7 linked regions of the Ovis aries genome follow. The protein of the gene in region 5 purifies or fractionates together with the protein of the main gene of each other region. This does not show direct contact. Links are inferred from orthologs where the notes say so. Each region holds a gene or a part of one and is shown on either strand. Other genes may lie near its edges. The genes, in order: RPAP2, MED26, MED1, GTF2B, POLR2G, MED9 and RPRD2.

Region 1 (3,500 bases), on a different chromosome or scaffold from region 5:
ATTTAAGTTTCAAAAGTGTTAAGGTGTTAGGGATAAAGATCATTTGGGAGTGGAGAAATCAGATGAATTTGAGATCTGTTTTCCTGTGGAGCAGAATGACTATACTTGGCTTTAGAAAATAATACAACAGTAAAGTTTAGTTAATAATGATAATAGTAATTTGCAGGTCTCTTCAACATGGATCTAATTACACGCCTGAGGAGATTATCTTTTATTCTAAGTACTACAATGTGAAGAATATAGATAAGCTGAAACGTATTTCAGGCAGATCACCCAGGATGATCCTTGAGGGTAACCAACTAGGTGTTGAGAGAAGTGATCCTTCATGAATTTATTCCTACTGAAAAATACTTCTACGTTCAATCCAGCTGAATAGTATTAAGCCAGAAATTATAATGAGCTTTGTGAAAATATAAAACAATTCCGTAATTCACACTGAAGTTTTCATTTAAAAATATGTTAACGTGTAATGTATATATTACTATTAAATGAGTTCATGAGTGCTTGAAATTTTTCTCACCTTTAATCCCAGTATGGTAACTATCAACAGATACAATCTGCATAAGCAAAAACTAAGATTATTAAGGACCACTGATGCCCAGAAGTTTGAGTACCACTGCTGTAGACCACACCATGTGTCATGTGGGATAGAAGGGTGCTCTGAGACAGGGCTGTCCATGGGAAACAGCTGTAGATATTCATCAGTTCTGAGGAGTTTGCTGTTCCTGCAGGTTGAGGTAATTAACTCCTTAAATCAGGAACTCCTAATGCACATTCTATTCTGATCTTAGTAAATGACATAGCTTTAATTGGTAAGCAGTGAAATGAGAAAAATAAGGCTTTTCATAAAGCTAAATATTTTCAGTACAAAGAAGTTTGGTACTGCAGAGAAAACTTTTTTTCAGTACAAAGAATATTTAATCTGTGTCCATGTCCTTTTTACATTTTTGATGTAAGATTGGTCTTGATGAAATGGTGGGAGAACAGGTGTTAATTACAAGTTTCTTCTTTGTAGGGAAAGAGCAGATTAACCAAAGTGGTGGTGGTCAGGCTCTCTTGCCCCAGGACATCTCGCTCTGACCCCAGGTTTTGTAAATACATGGTCATGTAACAGCTGAGATAACTTAGAGCACCGCGCACACGCGTCACGATGTACCCACTTGGCCATGGGCCACTTTTGTTCTGTAAACATATATTGGCTCCACCTGAAGAGCTTTTTGGCTGCGTTAGGGCTGTGTCCACTGGGTTAGTCGTGAGAGGAGAGAATACAGTGTATCTGCTGCTACAGCTGTTGTTGCAGTCGGGAGAGAATAAATGGGTCTTCACTTACTATGACTCCTTGAGTTTTCTTCCAGCTTCCCTGCTAACGCCTTGCCTACCCTGGGTTTAGCGAATTCTTGTTTTAATGTCCTTATTTGTCCCTAGCTGGCAGTCTTGTGTCAGTTCTCCAAATTGTTTTTTTGTAAAACATATTGCTCCAGGCAAGAAATTAGATGCTAAAGTCTTCGCAGTCAATAAAGGTAGGGAGAAAAGGTGAGTACATTCTCAGTTCAGTTCAGTCACTGAATCATGTCCGACTCTTTTAGACCCCATGGACTGCAGCACGCTAGGCTTCCCTGTTCATCACCAACTCCCAGAGCTTGCTCAAACCCATGTCCATTGAGTCGGTGATGCCATCCAACCATCTCATCCTCTGATCCCCTTCTCTTCCTGCCTTCAATCTTTCCTAGCATCAAGGTCTTTTCCAATGAGTCCATTCTTCGCATCATGTGGCCGAAGTATTGGAGCTTTATCATCAATCCTTGGAATGAATATTCAGGACTGAGTACATTCTAGGTCCACATATGAGAGCAGTCAAGGTCCATGATGGCAGCAGGGTTGTTCTGGTGGGGGAGTAGAAACTAGTATAGCTAACAAGTCACCAAGATACTTGGTATCTTTGTTCCATGGTACTGGTTCTCAACTCTGTTACACACTAGGTTTATCTGGAGCACTTTTAAGAAAACGCCATTAATTAGAGCCCATCCTCAAAGATTCTTATTTAGTTAGCCTGCAGTGGGACCTGAGCATGGTATCTTTTTTAAAAAAGGTCTCATCAGATGATCTACACTGAGGCGGGAATTGAGGACCACTGTCCTAGGACCATTTTTTGATCAGATAGCCTCTGCTTTTATATGATGCAGGGGGCCTGCAAAGGCTGACAGATTTTCACTGGTGCTTCCTAGATTGTTGTTTTCCAGAAAGAACCATATAGTCATAGCGGTATAGTTATTTAGTAAGACTTTACAACAAAGTAAGTAAATACTTCTTTGCAAGTATGACTCTGTCCTGTTAAACCAGGCTGGCCATTTAGTTAACATTTGAGAATTAGCACAAAGAAATTTGTATTTAAGAGAACAACCAAAATAATATTTTTCCTCTCCATTCCTTTCTGATTTCTAATGATTTCAAGGGAAAAGCCTCCATTTTTAGGTAAAAGCTCAGAGAAATGATAGAGAATGATAAATTATCATTTCAATAATGATAGTTTTATCTGGCAAAAAAGATTTCCTCCTATTTTCTTTTTTGTAGGATACTCTAAATTCTTCCTTGTTCTCTGAGCCCTGGAAATCAAATAATCCTGTTATGACAGACGTCAATAAAAAGTAGTTTGTTTCCCTTTTGAAAAATACTGTATCAAAAGAAACAGCATTTAAAAATATACATTTAACATTAATAGCAAAATAGCACATTGTTAGTGTTTAATTTTAAAATGTAGAAAATGGCTATGCTAAAACTTAAGTAGAATAACTTAAATACCATTTTTTTTTTAAAATTTTAGGAAAGCAGAACTAGAAGCAGCTGTCAGAAAGAAGATTGAGTTTGAGAGAAAAGCTCTACATATTGTGGAACAGCTTTTAGAGGAGAATATTTCAGAAGAATTCCTAAGGGAGTGTGTATGTATTGATAAATTATTACTTCTATAGTATGTTGTTGTTTTGTACAGTGGCTAAGTCAGTCATGTTGGAGGCTTTGCGACCCCATGTACTACAGTACTGCAGGCTTCCCTATCCTTCACTATTTCCTGGAGTTTGCTCAAACTCATGTCCATTGAGTCGATGATACTGTCTAACCAACTCATCCTCTGCCCTCCTCTTTTCGCTTTGCTTCCATCTTTCATAGTGTCAGGGTCTCTCATAATGAATCGGCCCTTCACTTCAGGTGGACAAAGTATTAGAGCTTTAGCATCAGTCCTTCCAGTGAATACTCAGGGTTGATTTCCTTTAGGATTGACTGGTTCATCTCCTTGCAGTCCAGGGGACTCTAGGAGTCTTCTCCAGCACCAGAATTTGGACACATCAATTCTATGACACTCGGCTTTCTTTGTGGTCCAACTCTCACACCCATACATGACTACTGGAAAAACCATAGCTTTGACTATGTATGGACCTTTGTTGGCAGTGTGGTGTCTCTGCTTTTTAATAATACTGTCTAGGTTTGTCATAGCTTTTCTTCCAAGG
Region 2 (4,246 bases), on a different chromosome or scaffold from region 5:
TTAAAGCGAGGTAATTTGCCCATATTTATTTTATCCTACAAGTGTGATGTAAAACTTTTCACACGTGCAGGAGCAGGCAACCACAACCACGTGGGGCAGCAGCCGTTTTTTGCAAATAAAAACGCTTCCCAGAAGCATGACAAATGGAAGACTAACAGGTGTAGCACAGAGCCGCCGAGGCGCGCATGTGGTTCTCATCAGCTGCCTCTCTCCTGTTTTAAATGTAGGTCTTCCTGTAACAAGAAGAAAAGTTATTTCTCTCGAGGCTGCGGCTAATGATCCACTCACTCACCTGCCTTTCTTACCCGTTTGCATAACCGTATATGTAATAAGAGCTTCCACGGAGAGCCGGCAATGAAAGAAGGCAATGAGGAGGCGAGGGGCCAGGAGAAGCCCTTAGACTTGACATTTAACAGTTCTGGGTTTGATCGGTAACTCTGGGTGACCTAGGGCCTCAGTTTCCTCCTTGGTAAGGGTGTTTCAGTTTTCCAGCACCACCATGCAAAGCAGGGTGGGAAGGTCTTTTAAACCAGTGATTCTCAACAGGGGTCGATTCTACCAGCCAGGTGACCTCTGGCAGTGACTGGGGACATTTTTGGTCCCCTGCAGGAAAAGGGTGTTACTGGCAGAGACCAGGGATGCTGCCGAACATCTTGCAACGCACAGGACAGGCCCTACAACAGAGTGATCCAGCCCCAAATGTTACTGGTGCCCAGGCTGAGAAACGCCGGAGTGGACACAGGTTTGCAACGTTGGTGTCAACTCATGCGGCCTCGGGGCTTTCCTAGCTGCGGTAGCGGCTCCTCCGTGAGACACTTTGCTGTCTCATGTTTTGGGGATCGTAGCCCGAGGCGCTGCAGACCCCCGACTCGCACCGCCCCCTCTGGAGCGTCCCACAGCGCTCCTCAGTTGACCCTTCCGCGCACAGAATTACAACGTGGACGTCTGCCTCCTGGCCTCCCCGAACGCAGAGGAGCTGGGAAGGACCCCGGGGCGCAGGAAACTTGGCAGCTTCTCCCGCCCGCGATTCCCGTCATCTTCGTCAGAATGGGAAAAGCTTTTCTACCCTAGGAGTGAGGTCCTTCATCTGCCCTGTCCGCCCAGAGCGCCAGGGTTCAAGGACTCGGCGCTCACCTAGCGTTTCCGTCGGAAACCTCCTGCCGCCACCCCCTCAACCTCCAGGCTTGGGTGGGGGCGGGGCCTCCAGGCGGCGGCCGTTGCCCCGCCCAACCGCCTCCCAACGGCTCCCTGGGCCAAGCGGTGGGGCGGAACAGAGGTGGGGGCGACTGCGCCTGCGCGCGCATGCGTGGAGTCTAGGGGCGTGGCCTGCAGGTGGCCCCGCCCAGACTCAGCGTCTCTGCCCGCCCTATCTCCCAACCTCCTCAGCGTGGCGCCGACGCTGCGTGCGGCGCGGGTTACCCAGAGTGCTTCGCGCGGGGGTAGCTCACTGGAGTTTGGTTCTCGAGGCGGCGGCAGCAGCGGCGACGGCTCCGGCGGCTCCTCCTCCTCCTCTGGTGGTGGCGGCGCCCCGGGCCTGAGCCCCGGCCCCGGCTCACCTCTCCGTCACCCCGCGCGCCCCCTCTTTCCCCGGCGCCGCGGGGAACATGAGGCTCCGCTCCCGGAGGCCGGCGAGTGAGTGACCCCGGTTCCCCGCCTCAGCCCGCCCGCCCGCTGGCCCGGCCGCTCCCCCCCCGCCTCGCCCAGGCAATGACAGCGGCTCCGCCGTCTCCGCAGCAGATCAGGGACCGGCTGCTGCAGGCCATCGACCCCCAGAGCAACGTAAGTACTCCTCACACGGGTTAAAGTGGAGGCCGCGTGGGCCCAGGACCCTCCCCCTCCCTAGTGCTCCTAGTCCGCCGGGCTCCGAAGGATCCCCCGGACACCCAGCTGCCCCTGAGGGCCGCTGCCATCCCTGTCTCTCTTCCCCCGGGCCCGGGCCGGGGGCTGGTCGGGCAGCCCGGCAGCGCTCGGTACGTGAGGCCGAGGCTTTAATGCGGCCTGGGCGAAGGGAGCAGATGGGAGCTGAGACTAGAGTTTTTCCCCCTCATCCACCCTAATTCTACGACCCTTGCTGTTCCTGACTGTGCTTGCCCACCTCGCCCTTACCATAGTACCCGCGACCCCCGGGAAGCCCTCCCGGCGGGGGGGGAGGGGAGGGGGAAAGGCTGTGAGCAACTGGTGTCCGGGGTAGGACTCGGGGAGCCCGTGCCGCCGGTGTCTCGGCCTTATCGATGAGGAGGGAAGTCTTATTTACCTTGCCTCCCGGCTGGAAGAACCTTTCTGGCTTCGAAGGGAGCCCCCCTGGCCTCCTTTACACCTAGCCGGGTGCCCAAGGCTCGTGGAGAGTCCCTTTCGGTTCTGAGAGTGGACTTGCTTCGCTGGGTCTCTCTTGGGGTCGCTGCCAACGGAAGATGATCTTGTAGAGAGTGGGATTCTTCCTATTACCTTTCTGGGCCTAAGTATTCCTTGCGTATCAGACCAAGGCAGAGCCCCGCTTTTGGGTAGTGAATTAGAGGTGATTATGTGCTCTCCCATTCCACCCAGAGCCCTTCTTCGTGTGCCCCCTACGTGGGGCCCTAGCCTGTTGGTTTGTGACCTAGACAGTCAGGGTTAACCCCAGGGTGTCGATTTCTCAGGTGCTGCTCCACTGAGGCTGCTGTTTGTGGAGGGATCTCCCCTGCCCTTCACCGTGTGTGTTGGGAAGGATTTATCTAATTCTCATATTTTCTCTGAGTGGTTGTCCGTGATAGGGGTTATTTTCCCTTGTGGCCAGAGCAGGTTCAGCAATGGCAAGATGTTGTAGCATCCAGGTATGAAGTGAGCCCCTGCATTTCCTGGGAGACCAGGAAGTGGCCATTGAAACCACTTTAATGTGCTGGGGATGGAAGAAATAAACCATCTTCGGCTTGGCCAGGTAACTTAGGTTTCTGTCACTGTGGGGACTTTTGCTTTTCCTTTACATGAGTTTTGCTGATTACTTTTAGCAGTAGGTTTTAGCCAGCACTGTGGGAATAATTCATGGTTGGATTGTACAAATTTGGTAGAAAGAGAGGAGTTGTGATCTTTATAAGACTGATTTCTGTATCATAAGTAATTCCTGGTCTTCAGGCCCCATGAAGATAGACTTGGTGGTACTTGTCTTTAACAAATGTTGTATACATTTTTGTTATGACTTTGGGGGTGGAGTAGGCACAAGCTATATAAAACCTTGCAGAATTTTTGCAGTAACTGGTGCTGCAGCAATTCCCAAGACTGAAAAAGTAGAGGATAAAACAAGTGAAATGAAAAATGTAGCCTTGATGACTTTCACCTCAGAGTGTAATTTCTCGAATTCCATGTGCTTGTTTGCCTTGCAGAGATTCTGAATGGTTGCTGAGATATTAGCACTGATCCTAATACCACCTAGGAGAGCTTTGGGATCAGGAGGCGCTTTAACAGGCAGTCACCATGTTGTAGATTAGGTGGGGCGGTGACCTCAGGGGTTCCAGTGTTTTGTAAGACTCTAAAGGGTTCCTAGGAGAACAGGAGGAAGAGGGTCCAAGCCCATGGATGTGTTCCGTATCATGGAGTGCACATTTCACGTGGCTTCTCTGGGACGACTCAGAGTCTTACTGATGTAAGTGTAGTGGATAAAATCGGGGTACTGTCTCTGAATATGAGTGATGAGAAAGTGCCTCCTTTAAATGCTGCTGTTGTCAGTGATGTTCCTGGGTGTTGTTACAAGCCATTTGACAGGAGTGTGGCTTGGAGCAAACTCCGCGGAGAAACTCAGAGCTGTGGAGGAATAGGTTGCCGGTAGAGATGGTGTGACCATATTTCTGCAGTTTCTCTTGATTGAACTGGGCCCAGGTGAGAGCTAGGTGGCTTCATCAAGGCATTGCCAGCACACAGCTGCTCTTCTCTGCCTTACCCAAGTAGAAACTCCACTTCTGCATAGTTAGTTGACACATATTTAAGATGCTCCTGGAAAATAAAAATGGGGACAGCGTTGAAGAGCCAACACTAAAATTAAACCTCTTTTGAGACAAGCGACTGAGAATTGTGTCATTAATGCTTACCTTTATGGGCATGCAGTTATGACAACAAACTTAACTTTTGCTTGAAAAGTCAATGTCAGGGAGCTGACTTAATATCCACAAGTATCTAAAAAGTTAGGGAAGTAACAAAGTAACATTTTCTGATCATCTCCCTGACAAAGAGAGTTCTTAAGAGGAAAGTTCTTTGCTCTAAATTCTAGCTTCTGGAG
Region 3 (3,445 bases), on a different chromosome or scaffold from region 5:
CAAACCCTATGGTCTCTTTAGTAGGGTCCGGCTATGCCTTTCAAAATTCATCCCACTTGGTGTCAAAGCCATGCCATTTAAGATTCTTAAATACAAAATCAGACCTGTCTGACTCACTCCTTATGGTGATTTGCCTATACACTTAGTTCTTCTCTGGCCATATTTTTGCTTTAAATAGGTTCCTAGTTGCCAATCAGGGCCACATCCATAAGATCGTCATCTTCCTCCCCAATCATAAAGTCAGGGCTGAGCCTTGAGGGCCTGTCTGTAGATAAGATTGTGTTACTTGTCATAGACAAGGACTGGTCTGAAGAGATGGGTGATTTAGACCAACTCTCTGGCTTGATGCTATGAGACTTTTTCTTGTCTCGGTCTTTGTCCCGGTCCCTATCTTTGTCTTTTACTTTCTTCTTTTCTTTTTTGTGCTTCTTATGCTTCTCTGTGCTGTATTCTGGAAGAGGTCGGATGCCATCATCTGAGCTAGGACTGTTCTGATAAGATTTCTCTGCTATGGAGGAGCCTGACTCACTTTCACTGTCCAGATTCTGGGGGGTATATGCTGGTGACTTACTATGGCTGGGAGAGCCACGCTCATGCTTTGGAGTGGAACCACTGATGAGTGGAGAGCCATAGTTTTTGGAAGAGGCCATCTGAGGCCTAAGCCCTTCTCCACCACCTTCCCCAGGTTTCTGCAAAGTCACTTTGGCTTTAATGCTGGGGGATCCCCCATCATGCTTGCTGATGATAATTTTTGCCACACCCGTGCTCCCCACATTTTTAGACTCTGAGGTCTTCTTAGATGAATCCACTGAGCCCCCCGAGGTGGAAACCTTTGATTTGTCTTTATCACTTTTCTCACGCTTGCCCTGGAACTCTCCTCCAGACATGTTATGTTTGGAGGACACAGGATGGCTAGAATTTGTGCTCACCCCCATTTGGCCGTCCATTGGGTCTTCACCCCCAGGGCCACTGGTGACAACCCCATGCTTCAGTTTATCTATGACAGCTGTTAAAGACGGCTTCTTATTTCTGCTGGGAGATTTCCCTTTGGAACTCCCATGCTGGTTCTGAGAGGATGACATGGAAGAGCCACTTGAGGAAAAGGAAGAGGAAGATGCTGTACAAGAGTTAGATGATGGGGGAGTTTTCTGAGACAATGAGCCTGAGGATCCTAACCCTGAAGATGACTTCATGCCGGTGCTTGAACTAGTTCCAGACATGTGAGAACCACCAGAACCTGAACTGATAGGGGACTTGGCTTTAGAGGATGGGGGAGTCCCAGGAACAGGCTTCATTGGAGAGGCAAGCTTATCAGAGCCTCCAGGTGGCCTTGAATGGGAAGGGGATATGTTTGGTTTACTTAAAGAAGGATTCATAAGTGATGATGGCTTCCCTTGAGGTTTCATCTTGGTGCTGCTGGAGCCACTGCTCAGTCCATGCTTGGTAATAGGAGAGGAGCCTGGCTTTCCCCCAGACTGGGATGAATTTTTGGACTGGCTAGATCCAGAAGACCCTTGGCTAGAATATATACTGCTACTTAACTTAGAACTTGATGAACCTTCTGATTTACTGCTTTTCATCTTGCCTGAGTTGGAAGCAGAAGATAAGGAAGAATGGCTATGGTGGCTTTTACTTCCTGAGGAAGACACAGAACCACTGCTGGTATACTGACTGTGAGAAGAGGGCTTGCCCACCATCACAGTTCCCTTAGGAATCTGAATAGTAATTTTGGGAATGGGTGGTGTGGCCACACCTGGGGGAGTCTGAGATCGTCCTGAACTGCCTGGAGATTTGGATCCACCTGTACTAGTAGGTGGGGTGAAAGGTCGGTTAGAAGAACTGTGAGATGGAGACTTTCCCTCAGTGTCTGCCTTCTTCCGCTTTGGAGGCTTATCTTTGCTTTTGCCATCATTAGAAGGGGTTCGACTGCGCTTCCCTGGTTTGCTGTCTAATCCTGTCCCTGACAGACTACTATTACTGGCACCATTGCCTTCCTTTACTCTCTTTTGAGTCTTTTCTTTCCCTAAGTCCCCAGTGGTCAATAAAGGACTCTGGCTACCACTGTGATGCTCCATAAGATCTGTAGGACCCAAAGCCTTACCAGCCACTGCTATAATACTGAAATCAACCGTGTCAGCTTGGCTATTGCCTTTAAACTTAGTCTCCCCATTATCACCTCCAAGCATTGGCACCCCCAAAGTATTTAGTGCCTGAGATGCAAATCCTTTGAAATCATCATTATCTCCACTTTGGCTGCTTTCATCAAAATATTCTTCTCCAAAACCACTTTGGCTCTGGCTGTTCAACAAATCAGGATTGAAATCTACTCCATCAGGAAAAAAATGATTGGTAGGTGAGTCACTACTGGGGCTGCCAGCAGCATCTGCAATAAGGTCAGCTGGATCAGTGTATGGATTTTCATTATTATTGGCTTGAAAGACATCAGGGTCAAAGAGGGCACTCTGAGAATGCCCAGAGCTTGAAGAATCTCGAACAGGGGTGCCAATGGGTGGACAATCGTCACTAGTGCTGGGAAGCTTAGAAGCTTCTTCTGCAATGTCTGAAAGGATATCAGTTACATCTGGGCCAATGCTGTCTGAACTGGATAGTCGGACCATCCTTTGAATACTGGGTTGGGGGTGAGGTACTGGTTGCGGGTAAGTTGTTGGGGGAGTACTACACTGGCTTGGAGCTGGAGTGATGTGTGGCGTATCCAGCGTGTCAGCTGTCATGTTGACATCAAAGATAGGGTTTTGTGAGTCAACATCCATTGAAAATAGCTCCCTCTGAAAGTCATCTTCAGTCTGGTGCTTTGGTTTGTCAGGTGGTAATCTTGATGACTTCTTCTTCTTTGTCTTGTTGCTTCCCGAGCACATTTCCATCCGGGGTGAGCCGGAAGAGGAGTTCTGCCTTTCTAAAGGGCTGCTTCCATAAAGGGTTGAGAAATCCTGGGCAGGATTATCTTTAAGAAGGTTCATGAGCATCGGGTGGTTCTTGGTGTTGCCGGCCATCGAAGAGACAGGTGGCGGCGTGTGATGAGGAGGGGTCGGACTCGAGCCAATGGTAGACCCCCCGTTCCCTGTGATTTGCAACAAACTGGTAAGAATTGGGTTCTGAGATACCTTGCTGAAGTCCTCCCCATGGCCCACCGACTCATGCCGATCTTTGATGCTCATGCTCATATTAAACAAGGTGGTAATGGGACCCCCCGGAAAGGTGTTGGTTGGTGTAGTGGTACCACTCATTGGGTTGTTGCCTGTGGTCATGCCATACCCTGGGCTGCTAGCCGGGGGCAGGTTCTTTTTCACCATGTCTTCAACTGTCTCTGCAATGAGGGACAGTGCTGGGGTGTCGGCCTGAATGGTTTCAGCTTTCCTCCGAATAGCCCTCATCGTCACAGGAATCGACATACATCTGTAAAATAAGATGGAAAAAACAAAATGAA
Region 4 (3,500 bases), on a different chromosome or scaffold from region 5:
GTTTTCATTTTTAGCTAGGTTGAAGGCTTTGATAGAACTAATATTTTTCATGTAGTTTTCAGTTTATGCATGAAAACATTACAGCTTATTCAATGTTGCTGTGATACTTGGACATTTTAGCTTGACTATAATTACCCTTCATTCATCCAGGAATATTTTATATGTTGTTTTCTTGTGTCACACTGAAGAGGCAGTGGTTCTTGCAGCTAAAACTAAGACTTCTGTTAAATTTATTCTTAGTGTTAGTTGAAATTTTAGAACAGGGTCAAATAGTTGATCACATTTTGCTGTTGTCTGTAATTGCAGGGATTGCGTGTATGTATGACATTGTGTAACTTGAGAGGCATTCTTTAGTTTGAATATTTTCTTTCATTTTCCTGATATACCCCTTATAACAGATTAATACATATCAAAGAAATTTTTGATTGATTGAAGAAACTTGCGTGAATTGAAACTTCAGAGAAGTTAATATTTTGAAATAGTAAGACCTACATTTAGCTTTTTCTTTTTTAAAGGTGTTGTAAACATTTAAATTAATTGAGAAATTTTAAATTAGTTTTGTGAGAAGTATCACTGAGAGAATTAGATTGATCTTCAAGGCAGGATAGAATTTTGCAGTATATTACTTTTGTAATAAAAAATGATAGATTTATAAGGTGAACTACATGGCCTAGGTGGATTTATTTATTTAAACTTTTTTTGTCTTTTAGAAATATGCGCTGTATCACGAATTTCTAAGAAAGAAATTGGTCGATGTTTTAAACTTATTCTGAAAGCTTTAGAAACCAGTGTGGATTTGATTACAACTGGGGACTTCATGTCCAGGTTTTGTTCCAACCTTTGTCTTCCTAAGCAAGTACAGATGGCAGCGACTCATATAGCCCGTAAAGCTGTGGAACTGGATTTGGTTCCTGGAAGGAGCCCGATATCTGTGGCAGCAGCTGCTATTTACATGGCCTCACAGGCATCAGCTGAGAAAAGGACCCAAAAAGGTAGGATTCTTTATCAGGAAGAGTATTGGTAAAATTGTGAAGGCTGTAGTATGTGATTGTATGTCCATTTTAAGTTATGAAGCAGGTACAGCCATACCTCATTCTGTTGTACCTCACAGACACTGCATTTTTTTTTTAACTGATGGAAGATTTATGGCAATTCTGTTTGTTAGATGATGGTTAACATTTTTGTTTTTTAGTAATAAAAGTTTTTTTTTAATTAGGGTATGTGCGTTCTTTTTTTAGACAAAATTATTTTGCACGCTTAAACTACAGTGTAAACATAATTTTTTATTATGTACTAGGAAACCAAAAAATTCATCTGTTTGGCTTTATTGCAATATTGGCTTTATTTTAGGGGTCTGGAACTGAACCTGCAGTTCTCTGAGGTGTGACAGTAAATATCCAGAGCCTGTGTTTAAGAGGTAGTTCCTTAGCATCAAAACTTAAGAAAATACAATATTTTGCTTTTAAGTGGCTCATAAATAAAAATATTTTGCGGGCATAACCCCGTGTACTTAACTTTTTTGTTCATTTGAATTAAGTAATTTTAGTTCATGCATTTTTTTTTTTTCATTTTTAGAAGTTGTTTTTATTTGTATCCCCTAAATATTTCTGGCTATTTGGAATAGTCTTGTTTTTCCCCACCTCAAAACTTACCTTTTAAGTCTTGATAGGAGGCAGCCATGCTTTGTTTCTCTGGAGCTGGCATGAACCCTACAGATAGGCACACTATAAATGTGTGCTGAGCATCAAGTTTTACCTTTCTGTGAAATCTATTCCCTTTCTTCTTTTGTATGCTGTTCACAGTTTCTTCATGAAAATACTGTTCAGCCTTCAGCTATTTTTAAATTTACTGTTGTAGAACTTTCAGACAAATATTAAGTGAATTTCTTTATAAGCATGTATTTGTTAATTCTGTGATCCTCAAAAAGATTTATAAAGAAAGAGAAGCTGTGTGCTGTGCTCTGCCCAGTCACTCAGTTGTGTCTGACTCTTTGCGACCCTTTGGACTGTAGCCCAGCAGGCTCCTCTGTCCATGGGATTTTTCAAGGGAGAAAATAGTGGAGTGGGTTGCCATTTTCTCCTCCAGCACAACACACAGCATTCACTAATTAATTACTTCTGTGATCCGCAAAAAGTTTTATAAAGAGAAAGGAGCAGTCAGAAATTTAAAAGTGAGGAAGTGAAATTACTTGCTGCATAACTGAATGCCCTATTCAGAATAGCCTTTACCTCAGCTTAGGCTGTATGCTCCTATGTTGATAAAAGTAGTAAATTATATGAAGATGATTAGACAGAAGCAGCCAGCCATTAGGTATTTAAATGTGCCATTATCCATTCCCTTTGGGCTCCACTTGAACTTTTCAAGAAAATTTTGAGTCTTCTTGGAAAATTGAGAAGCTGTGGCTGGGCAGATTGTCCTTACCTTCATTCCTATTAATAGTTGTAAAGTTTATTCTAATCATCTTGACACTTTCTGTTTGTGTTTCACGTGACGGGTTTTCTTGAAATATAAGGTCCTTTCTTTCCCTGCCCAGCAGCTAGTTGATATACATACAGTTTATATTCATTGGTATTTATGTCCAGAAAAATAGAATGTAACATAAGGTAAGGAAATTTAAAATTATTTACTGATGGCTGCATCCACACTTTGAAGCCATAAAATTTCACTGATATCGAACTGGATAAAACTCTGAAAAGATAAAATGAGGTTGTATTAAAGGGTGTGTTTAAAAAATCTATTTTGATTAAGTATAACTAACCAAATAATTGTCATGTGGCAGTCCTTTGGGACTTCATTTAGAAAAAGAAAAAAGTCATACTTGAGTTTAAATGGTAAATGCAGATCCTTGGATTCTTGAGTATAGAAATAACTCAAATGAGCTCAGTATATATGCTCCAGTATGTGTTTATAATAGTGAAAACCATCTATATCATGCTGTAATATATAGCTATTTGATCTCAGATGTGTTAAATAGAAAAAAGAGTTTTGAGAAAAATATTTATAGTGTGATCCCACTTGGTTTTAACCTTATAAGAACCTCTTAATAGAGGTTTGCTAGGGGAGATGTAGGGGAACTTTAAAACACAGAAATAATAAAGTGAATTTCTTTACAAGAATGTATTCGTGGATTACTTCTGTGATCCTCAAAAAAATTTATTGTGAAGAAGTCCATTCTAAATACAGTAAGCAGTATAATAGTTATCACACATTCTGCTATGCCCCGAACTGTTCAGATGTTTTACATATAGTAAACTTTTTAATGTTAATTCAACAATCCTTCAAGATAATAGATATTGAGACCATTATTGTTACTATAGCGCTACTTTCTAACTGTTAAAAATAGTTTTGTTTTCATTTTCACTTAGACATTTTATACCACCAGGTCCCAAAATTAGAATGCAGGTAGAAGGGAGTTAGGACGGAAGTTATACTTAATACTTTGATTTTTGTCTTGTAGAGATTGGAGATATTGCTGGTGTTGCTGATGTTACAATCAGGCA
Region 5 (4,250 bases):
ATCATTTAGGCAATTCCAAGGGTTTTAGGAGTTCTGTGACAGAAATGGGGAAGAAGACCAAGTATATATGTGTTGGTGTTTTTATTATAAATATCACAGTTACTTTTGTCTTGTTTCAAATTTTTTATTATGAACAATTTCAAACGCAGAAAAGTAGAAGAAAGTGTAAGAAACCACCATTATCCATCATCTGTCTTCAACGATTATTAATATATTGCTAAACTTGTTTCATCTACGTCTTTGCCTTCTTTAGTATAATTCATTTAATCATAAGTTAAGACAACTAAATTTTTCATAACTGCTGTGTTTAACAACTGGCTTGCAAAGTGCCTGAAATATTAACAGTTGGCTTTTGTAAGGGTCTCCAGCACACCACACCATTGCTCTTGCGGGGAGGCTGGTTTCAAAAGAGGGAAGGAGGGAGTTGAGGCTGTTGAGGCCTGCCCTTTGATCTGCTGTCTGCTTCCTCATGTGGTCTCTGGTGGAGGGGATCCCCATGGAGTCTGAGCAGCTGACCAACAACCTCAATCGTTCTAGGAAATGGGCAGCATCAATGGAAACCGGTGTGTGACAGCTCTAAGGAAATCAGGCTTTCTTGCTTACAATATACTAAAACTTGCTCAGGCAACAGGCGAGTTTGTTCAAGACCCCAGGGACTGTGGAGGCTTTAGAACCAGCCGCCCTTGCTGAGCCTTTGTCATAGGGGCGGGTCTCATGGTGTTTCCGAGACTCAGCAGCCCACAGACTACATGCTCATTCTCGTTGTGCTGAGTTTAATAAAGGGACTATCTGCAAAAGGGGGGGGTAGAGCTGAAGGAACAGGTAAAGTTTGCTCACCAGTTCTACAGGCCCTTGTGTGTAAGGGGGCGGGGGAGGGTGGTTAGAGGAGAGCAGTGACTTGAGGTTCTTTTCACACCGGGAGGGGGCGCTGCCTTCTGGGCTCTGACTAGGCCGGTTTCAACTCCAAACTACAAGAGCCCGGTAATAAATGCCTGAATATGCAAGAGCCTTGGAGTCAGGCATGTTGAATTTGAATCTCGACCCTGGGTGACCTCACCCTTCTGAGCCTGGTATCTTATTTGTAAATGAAAGTAATAACAAAGCCTGCCGGGTAGGGTTGCTGTTTAGATTAATTGAGATAAGGATAGCTTCTTACTATGCTTACTATGTGAAAGCAGTCTTCAACTCTTTGCAGAATGAATAGACTCTGCTAAAGCGCTTTATTTATGCGATCTCTCATTAATTAATTCCTTTTAAAGGTATTTATTAAGCATCTAATCTATGCGAGATACTGTTATGCTTAAGGGAGTTGGGCGCTTTGACGGCTGGACGGAGGGGAGGAGCCTCATGGGTTTCCCCACCCACGACAGCGAAGCCCAATGGGGACCCGTGGAGGCTGTGAGTCCCGCCCACTTTTCGGGGCAGGCCCGGAAACGGGGTTGGAGAGGTTGCTGTATTTCCGGTCGGTGTGGCGGCTCCGCTGCTCGTGAAGCGGTAGACCCGGCTCCTGTTCAGCTTCCTTCGGGAAGATGTTTTACCACGTGAGCAGGGCACGGGGTGGCGGCGAGGGCAGGGTCAAGAGGAGGAGCAAGCGGAAGGCCGGGACTAGGGGCGGCTTCTTGCCTCATACTCCTCCCGCTCCTTGCCCGACTCCATTCCAGTTTCCCCCCAGATTTCCCTGGAGCACGAGATTCTGCTGCACCCGCGATACTTCGGCCCTAACTTGCTCAACACGGTGAAACAAAAGCTCTTCACCGAGGTGGAGGGGACCTGCACCGGCAAGTGAGTGTCGCACCCTCCCTGCCGCCTAAACACTGCGCACACGGCTTTCTATGCTTGCACCCGCTTCCCAGCGCCTACACACCGTGAAAGCTTCTGCTACCTACCCTGGCAAGCCCTCTCACCCTTCCAGGCAGTTAGCTGCTTCCTGCTTTGGGTTCCTACGGTGCCCTCTGTGAAGCTCCATAACAGAACTGCCTTTCCTCAGCCAACATTTGTCATTAACTCTGCAAACATTTCTGAAGCTCCGGCTGTGTGCCAGGACTGGGCCCTGGGAACAATGCAGTGAAAAAGACAAAATGAGGTCAGCCCTTTCTTTATCCCTCATACCCAGGGACCTGGCATGGTACATCTTGGGCCTCACTAAAAGCTTGTTGAATGAATGAATGGGCAGGATAAGGCAGATTGAGAGTTAACCGGAGGAAGGAAGAGGAGTGAGACTTGACCATCTCTGGGCTCTGCACAGAGGCGCTCCGCACATGGTGAAGTAAATGAGGGGGGAGGAGCAGGGCCGCAGAGTACTCAGGTATCCAGCATCAGAGTAAGCTGAGGTGTTCTTTGAACATACAGGTTCCTGAGCCTCATCTCATTTCTACAGCATCAAGACTGGGGACCAGCCCGGGAACAGGCATTTTAATGTTTCTCTCAGGTGATTCTGAGACATCGCCAAGGTTGAGATTAAGGACTGCAGCCCTTTTGGACACTGATTGTGAAATTATGAGAGCAGCGTTTGGCATTATAGCTGCTGCTGATTGTCCTGTCTCCTCTCTTGATCATTAAGCTCTCCTGGGGCCAGGGGGCCGACTACTCCCCCCTCTGTGCTCCCCCTTTACCTCTAGGGTCCGTGACTCTTGCAGCAGATGCTTTTTTGTATTTTTTTCCTGGCTGCGTTGGGTCTTCGTTGTTGCACGAGCTTTCTGTAGTCGCAGCAGAAATGAGAAGTGTGTGGGTTTCTCATTGTGGTAGCTTCTCTTGTTGAGGCACACGGGCTCTAGGGCTTGGGCTTAGTAGTTGCAGCGCACTGGCTTAGCTGTTCTGTGGCGTGTGGAATCTTCGGGGACCAGGGATTGAACTTGCGTCCCCTGAATTGGCAGGGGACTTCTTAACCACTGGGCCACCAGGGAAGCCCTGCTGTGGCAGATGGTTTCAGAGGCTCTTCCACACACAGTGTCTCAGTTTCTCTGCCTCCTTGCAGGTATGGCTTTGTAATTGCCGTCACCACCATCGACAATATCGGTGCTGGTGTGATCCAGCCAGGCCGAGGCTTTGTCCTTTATCCAGTTAAGTACAAGGCCATTGTTTTCCGGCCCTTTAAAGGGGAGGTCGTGGATGCGGTGGTAACTCAGGTCAACAAGGTAAGAGCATCCACAGGGGAGGTAGTGGGAAGGTCCCTCTCTTAGAAGATCTGGGATGGGTCCCACTTTGGTCAAATTCTGTGTCTTTGGTCAGATCACTTCTCTGTGCTTCAGGTTTCCTCACCTGTCAAATAGTATGGTACTGCCTCACTCAGGGGCATGTAAGTCAATAGTGAGTCAGAACAGTAGTAGCCTCCACTGTGGACCAGGTAGTGTGCAAAGCCTCTGACTCTGAAATGAGTGCTTTTATCTCCACGCTGAAGCTTGGAGAAGTTGAGTCTTCTGGCCACGGTCACGTGTCCAACAAGTGTTCAAAACCCAGAAGGACAAGTTCTAGGTCTCAGCTGTTTACTGCTACACTTCCTTAGCTTAGAATGAAAGCTTGGAAAAACAAACACACACATGACAAATTTCAGAGTGGTTTCAGAATATGAAGAACATTGTTAGGAACCAGATAAAGATGGGAGGCTTAGGAGACTGGGGGACAAAAGAAAAAGCAAGGTCTCTCTTTTCCCTTCTAGGTTGGACTCTTCACAGAAATCGGGCCCATGTCCTGCTTCATCTCTCGACACGTAAGTCTAGGCACGCTGGGTGGGTCTAAGAAGGAGACCTGTACTCATGAGAATCTACTGAAGCATCCTTTTCAAGTGCTCTTACCCAGTTTGACCTTCCTTTCAGTCCATCCCATCAGAGATGGAATTTGATCCTAACTCCAACCCACCGTGTTACAAAACGATGGATGAGGTGAGTGGGCAGAAGTTGGTGAGAGGGCCAGGGGAATGAGCCACTCTGAGGGAGGGTATTGGCCTGGGGGTTTCTGAGTGTACTGTTCCCTCCTCCCCAGGACATTGTGATTCAGCAGGACGATGAGATCCGCTTGAAGATCGTGGGGACCCGTGTGGACAAGAATGACATCGTGAGTCTCCTGACTGCCTCCCTGCTCATACCAGGCCGAGCTGTTGCATTCTTGCTACTCAGAGTTCTTGGGGATTTTGTGCTCTTCTGCCCGGAAAAAGAGATGGGTGGGCAGAAGGTCTGGGGCTGAGGGTTAGAGGAGAGCTCTCTGCTTGCTTTGGGTTCATTTCCATTTCTCCTTTCCTCCTGCAGTTTGCTATC
Region 6 (3,947 bases), on a different chromosome or scaffold from region 5:
AATCATTCCATTTGGATGGCATATGTGCTAACACATTGTTATGAATTTAAGTCCCAAGGCAATTTTGAAATTAAATTATAGTTTTAAGAAAACTGATTCACAACACATAAGTCTGAAAGGACAAGGTACAAACAAACAAAAAAAAAAATTTTTTTTAAACAATAAGGTTCTACCATATAGCACAGAGAACTATACTTAATAGCTATGATAAACCATAATGGAAGAGAATATTTTTTTTAAAAGAATGTCCATATATGTGTAACTGAATCACTTTTCAATTTGTTTTGACAAAAATGTAACCACACTACACACATGGTTCTGATTCTTGGTTCTTTTTTCACCTGAAATGCACCTCGGACAGCTAGATGACATGGCTGTTACGAGTATGTGGATGTTTGTAACTGATCACCTGCGGTCTGAATGGGGATGACCATCCCACACCTGCACCTGTGTGTGCTGGGCACCCACAGTCCCCTCAGTCAGTGCTGCAGCTCTGCCTGCCACCACCTGCAGTTCATCCCTGTTCCTCCTCCTACTCCCCAGCTTCCTGTGGACCCCAGTCCTCTCCTCCTCCTAAAGCCCTCTGTCCCATCTACCTTCACAAAACCCAAGCACTAGCTCAAAAACTTCGGATGACTCCTCGACTCCCTGGTTCAGTGTCTCTGGGGTCAGACACCCAAGAGAGTCTATTTTCTTTGGCTGTCAGTTGAGAAGCTGGGGACAGGAAAGGGGAGGTATGGGTGAAGGGTGGGGCTGGGTCTCAATGTCCAGTCTGTGGACTTGCTCTCAAGCTCCTATTCTCAGTATGGCTCCCCTCCCCCAGCTCCCACAATGTGCCTAGTGTTCCCCAGTCCAGACACTCTGGCTGACTCTCTCCTAAAACAAATCTTGGGAAAGTACAAGCCTTTAAGCTGTCTGACCAAGGTCATTCAGCTGGTACCTTATAGAGCTATCATCTGTGGTTCATTTTTGGATGGCAACACCTATTCAATGGACATGAGATTGAGTAGACTCTGGGAGATAGTGAAGGATGGGGAAATCTGGTGTGCTGCAGTCCATGGGATTCCAAAGAGTCAGATACAACTGAGCGACTGAACAAAGAACAATTATTACTCATATATTAGAGATAAGAAAATCAAGGTCTAGAAAGGCTATGCACTTAACTAAAATTCCAACACAAGCAAGCATCAACATGCAGATCTGAACTCAAGAAGATCTGACTTCAAAGCCCATGTTCTTTCTCACAGACAATACAGTTCCATCTTTAAGGCCAGCCCAACCCAACTGCTCTATCAGGGTCAAAAATAGACTCGGAGAACACTGTGTGTTTTCATTTTTCCGTATTTTTTTCTAAAACCCGAATAAGCATATTTGGCTTGATCCTGGATAATGCCTGGGACTCCAGGGCTGCTTCTGTGTGTGTTTGCTTGGTCACTCTGCCTAGAAGTGCTACCTGATCACAGGCTCCTGGGAATAGAACAGTTTGCCTTGCCCGATAAACACTATGTTCACACCAAGTGAAGCCAGATGAAGTCAAGGTCTACTGTGACTACTGTGAGAACAAAGTCTTCACAGTCGTCTGAAAAGCAGTGGAAGTGTCAGGTCATCCCAGGGCAAGTGAATCTAATCCGCCTCAACTCTAAACCGGCTAGGCCATCACCAATACTTTTGTATTGTGAGTATCAATTCCATTTCAGCAAAACATCCAAGAGCATGTTGATGTTCACTTGAATGTTACTGTAAAAATAACAACTTTGTTACTGTAAAAGATTACAACTTTGTTGTAATCCACTTTGCTTTTATTTTTTAATGGCTGAATAAAAAGTTCAAGCCCAGGGGTTTAAACTTTGCTATCATGTAGACATAAATAACAGTTAACAATAATTTGGGCAAATGTGGGGATTGGGGAGATTTTGGCTGTGTGTGTGTGTGTGTTTTCCTTCTAAGGATAAGTTTGAAAACTCAGGTGATCTGAAGACTGGCCAAAAGCAGACAATCACCCCGTGTCGCCGGGACAGGGCACCCCAGTGCTGTCCGGAGGGCAGCGTCCTACTCCTGTAAAATTCCCAACATCACCCCTATAATCTCTTTGCATTATGGGTTATTCCGCTCATTAGTTTCCCCTTCTAACTGGTGAGCAAGGTGGGGATGAAAAGTCGGCCCCTCCACGTGTACACGCCACAGCACTTAGCAGTGTGCCACACATGGAAGATGACCCGTATCTGTCGGATCTGTGGGAAAACAGGCTCACCAGGCTGCACCCCAATGGTCTGCCCGCAGCGTCTGTGCACTTGCTGTCTACATCGGCTTCGTTTTAAGAACGCTGCTTGCCAGCACGGGGCCTGGTAACTCCCAGGAGGGAATGCTGAACTCTTGGGACTGCTCGCGGTGGCCTCGGCGTGGCCGCTCCCCTCCGGGTGTGTCTCCCCCTTGGTACCGCGGGGCGCCCCTGGATTTTGGACATGTGATGGGCAGCGGGGGCGTGCGGGCTGATTCCCCCGGGCCCTTACCATTTGATGATGCTGTGAACCAAGGGAAGGAAGGAGCAGTTCTCCTCCGCCTTCACGCCGGCAGGGGATGGAGGCTTCGGCGCGGGCTGCGGCTGCTGCGCAGAGACAGACGGCGGCGGCTGCGGCTGCGGCAGCGGCTTCATCTCCGGCAGCGGAGGCTCTGCGGGCGGCGGCAGCGTGTCCTCACCCTGCCGGCCGGCAGCAACCCCCACAGAAGCCATCGTGTCCCGGACCCCAGCAGCCGATCAGGGGGACAGTCGGCTTCGCGCGCCGGAAGTGTTGCTGATTATGACGTCACCATCGTGCGCCGCGGAGGCGGGGCCGGGCCTGGCGGTCGTTACTAGGCAACAGGCGGCTGGTCCTTGGTAGCCTGGATTTGGTGGTGCGCAGAGACAGCTAAATTTTTCAAAAGTCAGAAATAGAAGGTATACTTCAGGAATAACATCTCATTCCTATTCACGTTACAAAGAGAATCCAAAAGCAACCTGTAGAGGAAGATAAATGGGGCCTCAGGAAGAGTGGACAGCACCTCCGCACCTGCGGGTGTCAGGCCCTGGGCCCGTGGAGGATCCGAGGGGAAGGACCCACGGCTCCCACCCGCGCAGAAGCCTCCAGGGACGAGGTCTTGCGCCTACCCTATGGACCCTGAAATAAACCGAACAGTTAATATGCATCTTCTGGGTGACACACGCTGTGCTAACTGTGGGGGAAGGGTGAGGTCTGTCTCAACTTACTCCGAGCAGAGATGGCCGAAGGGGATTAGTACCAGGAATAAATACTGTATCCGAGGGAGAAGTCAGTGTCAGCTACTCTCCGTACCTGTGGGCCAGCTCCTGAAGCCCCCGGTCTCAGTGTGCTCACCTCTAAAATCTTTAGTTCAGGGTCATGGCAGAGCCCAAACCACTTTCCAACTTCAGACACATGGCTGACCTTTGAAGGTGTCCTTTGCATGAGCCCTGGGCTCTTAGGCGGAGAAGGCAATGGCACCCCACTCCAGTACTCTTGCCTAGAAAATCCCATGGATGGAGGAGCCTGGTAGGCTGCAGTCCATGGGATTGCTAAGAGTCGGACACGACGGAGCGACTTCAGTTTCACTTTCATGCATTGGAGAAGGAAATGGCAACCCACTCCTGTGTTCTTGCCTGGAGAATCCCACGGGCGGCGGAGCTTGGTGGGTGGCTGTCTATGGGGCTGCACAGAGTCAGACACGACTGAAGCGACTTAGCAGCAGTGGGCTCTTAGGTCAAAGTAGGGGACTCCTGGTGGGTTTGTGGGTATGTTCCTCAAAACAAGCCCTCCCAAGCCACAATGAGGGGGCTGTGTGATGGGGAGTGGCATCCTAGTTGGGAAGTACCCCTCTACTGAAGAGCAAGGTGGCCGGTGCCAAGGAAGCATCAGTGCTGGTATTTCAGAGGCATCTAGGAGGAGTCTGTAGAG
Region 7 (3,500 bases), on a different chromosome or scaffold from region 5:
CAGCAGCAACAAGAAGAGCACTATCGCATAGAGACTCGAGTCTCCTCCTCCTGCTTAGACTTGCCTGATAGTACCGAAGAGAAGGGGGCCCCTATAGAAACCTTGGGTTATCATAACGCATCCAATAGGAGGATGTCAGGCGAGCCAATACAGACTGTAGAGTCCATCCGAGTCCCTGGGAAGGGAAATAGAGGACATGGGCGTGAGGCTTCCAGGGTGGGTTGGTTTGATCTGAGCACCTCAGGAGGCTCCTTTGACAATGGCCCCTCAAGTGCCTCTGAGTTGGCATCCCTTGGGGGTGGGGGCAGCGGAGGCCTCACTGGCTTTAAAACAGCACCATACAAAGAACGAGCACCCCAATTTCAGGAAAGTGTCGGCAGCTTCCGTTCCAACAGTTTCAACTCAACATTTGAGCATCATCTCCCCCCATCCCCCTTGGATCATGGGACACCCTTCCAGAGAGAGCCAGTGGGGCCATCATCTGCCCCACCCGCCCCTCCTAAGGATCATGGTGGTATCTTCTCTCGAGATGCACCTACTCATCTACCCTCTGTGGATCTTTCGAACCCCTTCGCAAAGGAGGCAGCCCTGGCCCACGCTGCCCCACCTCCTGGGGAGCACGGCGGAGTTCCTTTCCCCACCCCACCCCCTCCTCCGCCCCCCGGGGAGCATAGCGGCAGTGGCGGGAGTGGCGTCCCCTTTTCTGCTCCTCCTCCTCCTCCACCTCCTGGTGACCGCTCTGGGGTTGTGCCCTTCCCAGCCCCACCACTGGCAGAGCACGGAGTGGCGGGGGCCGTGGCAGTGTTTCCCAAGGACCATAGTTCCCTCCTTCAGGGGACCCTGGCTGATCATTTCGGGGTGCTCCCAGGACCCAGGGACCATGGGGCCCCCACCCAGCGGGACCTCAACGGCCCCGGCCTTAGCCGTGTGCGCGAGAGCCTGAGCCTGCCCTCCCATTCTTTGGAGCACTTGGGCCCAGCCCATGGAGGAGGAGGTGGGGGAGGCGGCAACAGCAGCAGTGGCCCCCCCTTGGGTCCCTCGCACAGAGACGCCATCAACCGGAGTGGTATGATCTTGCGGAGTCCCCGGCCAGACTTCCGGCCTAGGGAGCCTTTTCTCAGCAGAGACCCTTTCCACAGTTTAAAGAGACCCAGGCCACCTTTCGCTAGGGGCCCTCCGTTCTTTGCACCAAAACGCCCATTCTTCCCTCCCAGGTACTGATGGAAACTAAGGGAAAGGCATTTGAACAGTAGAGAGCGTTGGAAGTAGGAGTTTGGTTTATTATCATTGTTTTTATTTGTTCTCCCTCCTTTGACCTATTTTTTCTTTCTTTTTTTTTATTATGACAAAGGACCTCCCTTCCAAATTAAAAAGTTTATATGCTTACATTTCACTATTCCATCCAGTCCTCCCACCCACTGCACTTATACCTACCTTTTCCAAGATGTTTGTATTTTAAGGGGGTGGGGGCCAAAGAAACACAACTAAAGCCACTTCATTTGGCTGGGGGTTTGAAGGGTGGGGAGGAGAACAAATTTATTTTCCCCCATCTATTGAAGAGTATTACTACATTTGAAATAAAACTTCCATCAGTACAGATAATACCATGTGCAATGTTGGGATGTCATTTGGGGCTTGGCTTCTCACGTGGTCAATGGAGGGATTCTTGTCCCCTTCTCTCTCCAGCTCAGTTACCTGCTGTTAGCCGTCTGGCTGTCTTCCCTGTGTGCTCTGTGGCCTGCGGACAGCCAAGAGATGTTGCAGGGGAGGAGATGTGGGAGACCTCGGACCTGTCAAGTTATTTGAGGGTTTTCTTTTGTTTTAAAAGGCATGTGGAAGTTGAGTTCTTGACCTTTCTCCCAAAGTCTAAGCCTTTGTTTTTTAATTTAGCCTCTTCTGAGGTTCTATCAGGCAACAACTTTAAGGAAATACGGACCTCATTTTATCCTAGTAAGGAATTTTCCTCCTTTGATTAGAGGAAAGAGGGCCAGGTATATTAAAATTAAAAGAATAAGTAACTGCAGTACAGACAGAGAGGAGCCATTGATGGTGTGATCTGACTTGGCCATCTGTCATAAACATATTTCTGAGGTGGTTTCACATATCTGGCATCAAGCTCTTGCTTCCTGCTGCTTTTTTTTTTTCATTGACTTTTTCTCCCTCAGTTTTCTCGTCTGCATTTCTAGTCTACCCAGAAAGTCACTGTACTTGACAGTAGATACAGAGGTGCAACTGAAACATTCTGATATTATCCCAGTTGTGTTTTTTTTTTTTAAGTAGACATTTTTACCATGGTGCCTCCCTAATGTAACATTTGTTGGTAGTTATCACCAAAAGTTAACTATGGGGAAAGGAAAGTATTTGTCTTTATCTTTTACCCTTGACCTAGTCCTGTATTCACCCCTCTTGGTATTCTGAAGGAGGTAGTTTAGTAGCATCTTTCTTTATACCTCTTTAGTTCTGTCTTAGTGACAAATGGATGTTACACATATCCTTGCAGACACACAGGAGGACCTGATTAGTTTAAATTTACCCCACTCTGTGGATAATGACCTGTCACATTTCAAGGCTCACACCTTATCCTTACCTCCCACTCTCAATAGAAAATGTTTATGCCCTTAGTCATTTTACATGAAAAAAAAAAAAAGTGCTTTTTTTCTCCCTGAACTGAAAAGCTCCTTATTTGTATTTCTACAGCTAGTACTGGGAAAAGACAATCACTGCGCTTTGAGTGTTTAGGGACACTGAAAAGCAAATGTTGCTTTACTACATTTTTTAATTTAGTGTCTTACCGTAAAGTACACACTGGTAATCTCCAGCCAGAAGAGTAAAAGACTATAAAAGGAAATCCTAGCAAGTTTCATATTTTCTTCCAAGTTAGTGTAGAAGTAACTGTAGGAAGTGTAGGGATTGCTTTGGATTCACCCGGTGAAGTTTTACAGATGGGAGAGCGTGGGCAGTGTAGTGACAGAAGATGATTCTTTGTCTCAGAATAAGCTTGCTTTGCAGGTAAAAGAGCAGCTCAAACCAGGTGTGCATCATAGTTTGGGAGTTTTTGTGTAACTTATTCCATGTTACTTGTTTGGGCTCTCCAAAACATGGAGTCCTCCATCTTCCTAATGCATTTCTGGTCTTAGGCCAGCTGTTCGTCCTTTGACCTTCTCAAGCCTCTGCGCTGTAGCTCTCCCTGCAGAAAAATGCATGATACCACAATGTTGTAAGTGGGATGAGGTATATAGTGTAGCAAAGCAAAGAAACAATACAGTTATACTGAGTCCTAAGACATTTGTTTAGAGAAAAGCATAAGAGAGTGTGAGGGTGGGGTGGGGGGAGGTTAAAGGGAGGAAGTTTTAACTCAAGACTGAAATAGATTTTTTTTTCTTTTGCAGAAAATTAAGTGGGATGTTTTTCATTCTAGAATAAAAGAATGTGAATTCTTTCTGCTGCTCTCGAGTAATCTAAAAGTAGTGTTTACTTGAAAAGGCTCTCTGACCATTTGA

What was found.
Region 1: the proteins of POLR2G (region 5) and RPAP2 purify together in Homo sapiens (affinity purification with mass spectrometry; 5 studies listed by BioGRID and IntAct, counting the BioPlex papers as one, with this or other methods). This does not show direct contact. The link is inferred for Ovis aries from reciprocal best matches to the Homo sapiens genes POLR2G and RPAP2.
Region 2: the proteins of POLR2G (region 5) and MED26 purify together in Homo sapiens (affinity purification with mass spectrometry; 6 studies listed by BioGRID and IntAct, counting the BioPlex papers as one, with this or other methods). This does not show direct contact. The link is inferred for Ovis aries from reciprocal best matches to the Homo sapiens genes POLR2G and MED26.
Region 3: the proteins of POLR2G (region 5) and MED1 purify together in Homo sapiens (affinity purification with mass spectrometry; 3 studies listed by BioGRID and IntAct, with this or other methods). This does not show direct contact. The link is inferred for Ovis aries from reciprocal best matches to the Homo sapiens genes POLR2G and MED1.
Region 4: the proteins of POLR2G (region 5) and GTF2B purify together in Homo sapiens (affinity purification with mass spectrometry; 3 studies listed by BioGRID and IntAct, with this or other methods). This does not show direct contact. The link is inferred for Ovis aries from reciprocal best matches to the Homo sapiens genes POLR2G and GTF2B.
Region 6: the proteins of POLR2G (region 5) and MED9 purify together in Homo sapiens (affinity purification with mass spectrometry; 3 studies listed by BioGRID and IntAct, with this or other methods). This does not show direct contact. The link is inferred for Ovis aries from reciprocal best matches to the Homo sapiens genes POLR2G and MED9.
Region 7: the proteins of POLR2G (region 5) and RPRD2 purify together in Homo sapiens (affinity purification with mass spectrometry; 3 studies listed by BioGRID and IntAct, counting the BioPlex papers as one, with this or other methods). This does not show direct contact. The link is inferred for Ovis aries from reciprocal best matches to the Homo sapiens genes POLR2G and RPRD2.

What each region holds. Positions count from the first base shown.
Region 1 is NC_056054.1:69,554,721-69,558,220, forward strand, and holds part of RPAP2 (putative RNA polymerase II subunit B1 CTD phosphatase RPAP2), read left to right. Parts: intron 1-2,821; coding exon 2,822-2,936; intron 2,937-3,500.
Region 2 is NC_056058.1:6,189,003-6,193,248, forward strand, and holds the start of MED26 (mediator of RNA polymerase II transcription subunit 26), read left to right. Parts: upstream 1-1,446; 5' UTR 1,447-1,707; coding exon 1,708-1,779; exon of another isoform or gene 1,780-4,246. UniProt on the Homo sapiens protein: Component of the Mediator complex, a coactivator involved in the regulated transcription of nearly all RNA polymerase II-dependent genes.
Region 3 is NC_056064.1:39,589,409-39,592,853, forward strand, and holds part of MED1 (mediator of RNA polymerase II transcription subunit 1), read right to left. Parts: intron 3,415-3,445; coding exon 183-3,414; 3' UTR 1-182. UniProt on the Homo sapiens protein: Component of the Mediator complex, a coactivator involved in the regulated transcription of nearly all RNA polymerase II-dependent genes.
Region 4 is NC_056054.1:66,095,862-66,099,361, reverse strand, and holds part of GTF2B (transcription initiation factor IIB), read left to right. Parts: intron 1-710; coding exon 711-992; intron 993-3,457; coding exon 3,458-3,500. UniProt on the Homo sapiens protein: General transcription factor that plays a role in transcription initiation by RNA polymerase II (Pol II). Involved in the pre-initiation complex (PIC) formation and Pol II recruitment at promoter DNA.
Region 5 is NC_056074.1:37,615,647-37,619,896, forward strand, and holds the start of POLR2G (DNA-directed RNA polymerase II subunit RPB7), read left to right. Parts: upstream 1-1,450; 5' UTR 1,451-1,529; coding exon 1,530-1,541; intron 1,542-1,672; coding exon 1,673-1,782; intron 1,783-2,974; coding exon 2,975-3,134; intron 3,135-3,655; coding exon 3,656-3,706; intron 3,707-3,812; coding exon 3,813-3,878; intron 3,879-3,978; coding exon 3,979-4,179; 3' UTR 4,180-4,241; coding exon of another isoform or gene 4,242-4,250. UniProt on the Homo sapiens protein: Core component of RNA polymerase II (Pol II), a DNA-dependent RNA polymerase which synthesizes mRNA precursors and many functional non-coding RNAs using the four ribonucleoside triphosphates as substrates.
Region 6 is NC_056064.1:34,574,073-34,578,019, forward strand, and holds the start of MED9 (mediator of RNA polymerase II transcription subunit 9), read right to left. Parts: upstream 2,801-3,947; 5' UTR 2,732-2,800; coding exon 2,511-2,731; intron 1-2,510.
Region 7 is NC_056054.1:100,508,208-100,511,707, forward strand, and holds part of RPRD2 (regulation of nuclear pre-mRNA domain-containing protein 2), read left to right. Parts: coding exon 1-1,214; coding exon of another isoform or gene 1,215-1,221; exon of another isoform or gene 1,222-3,500.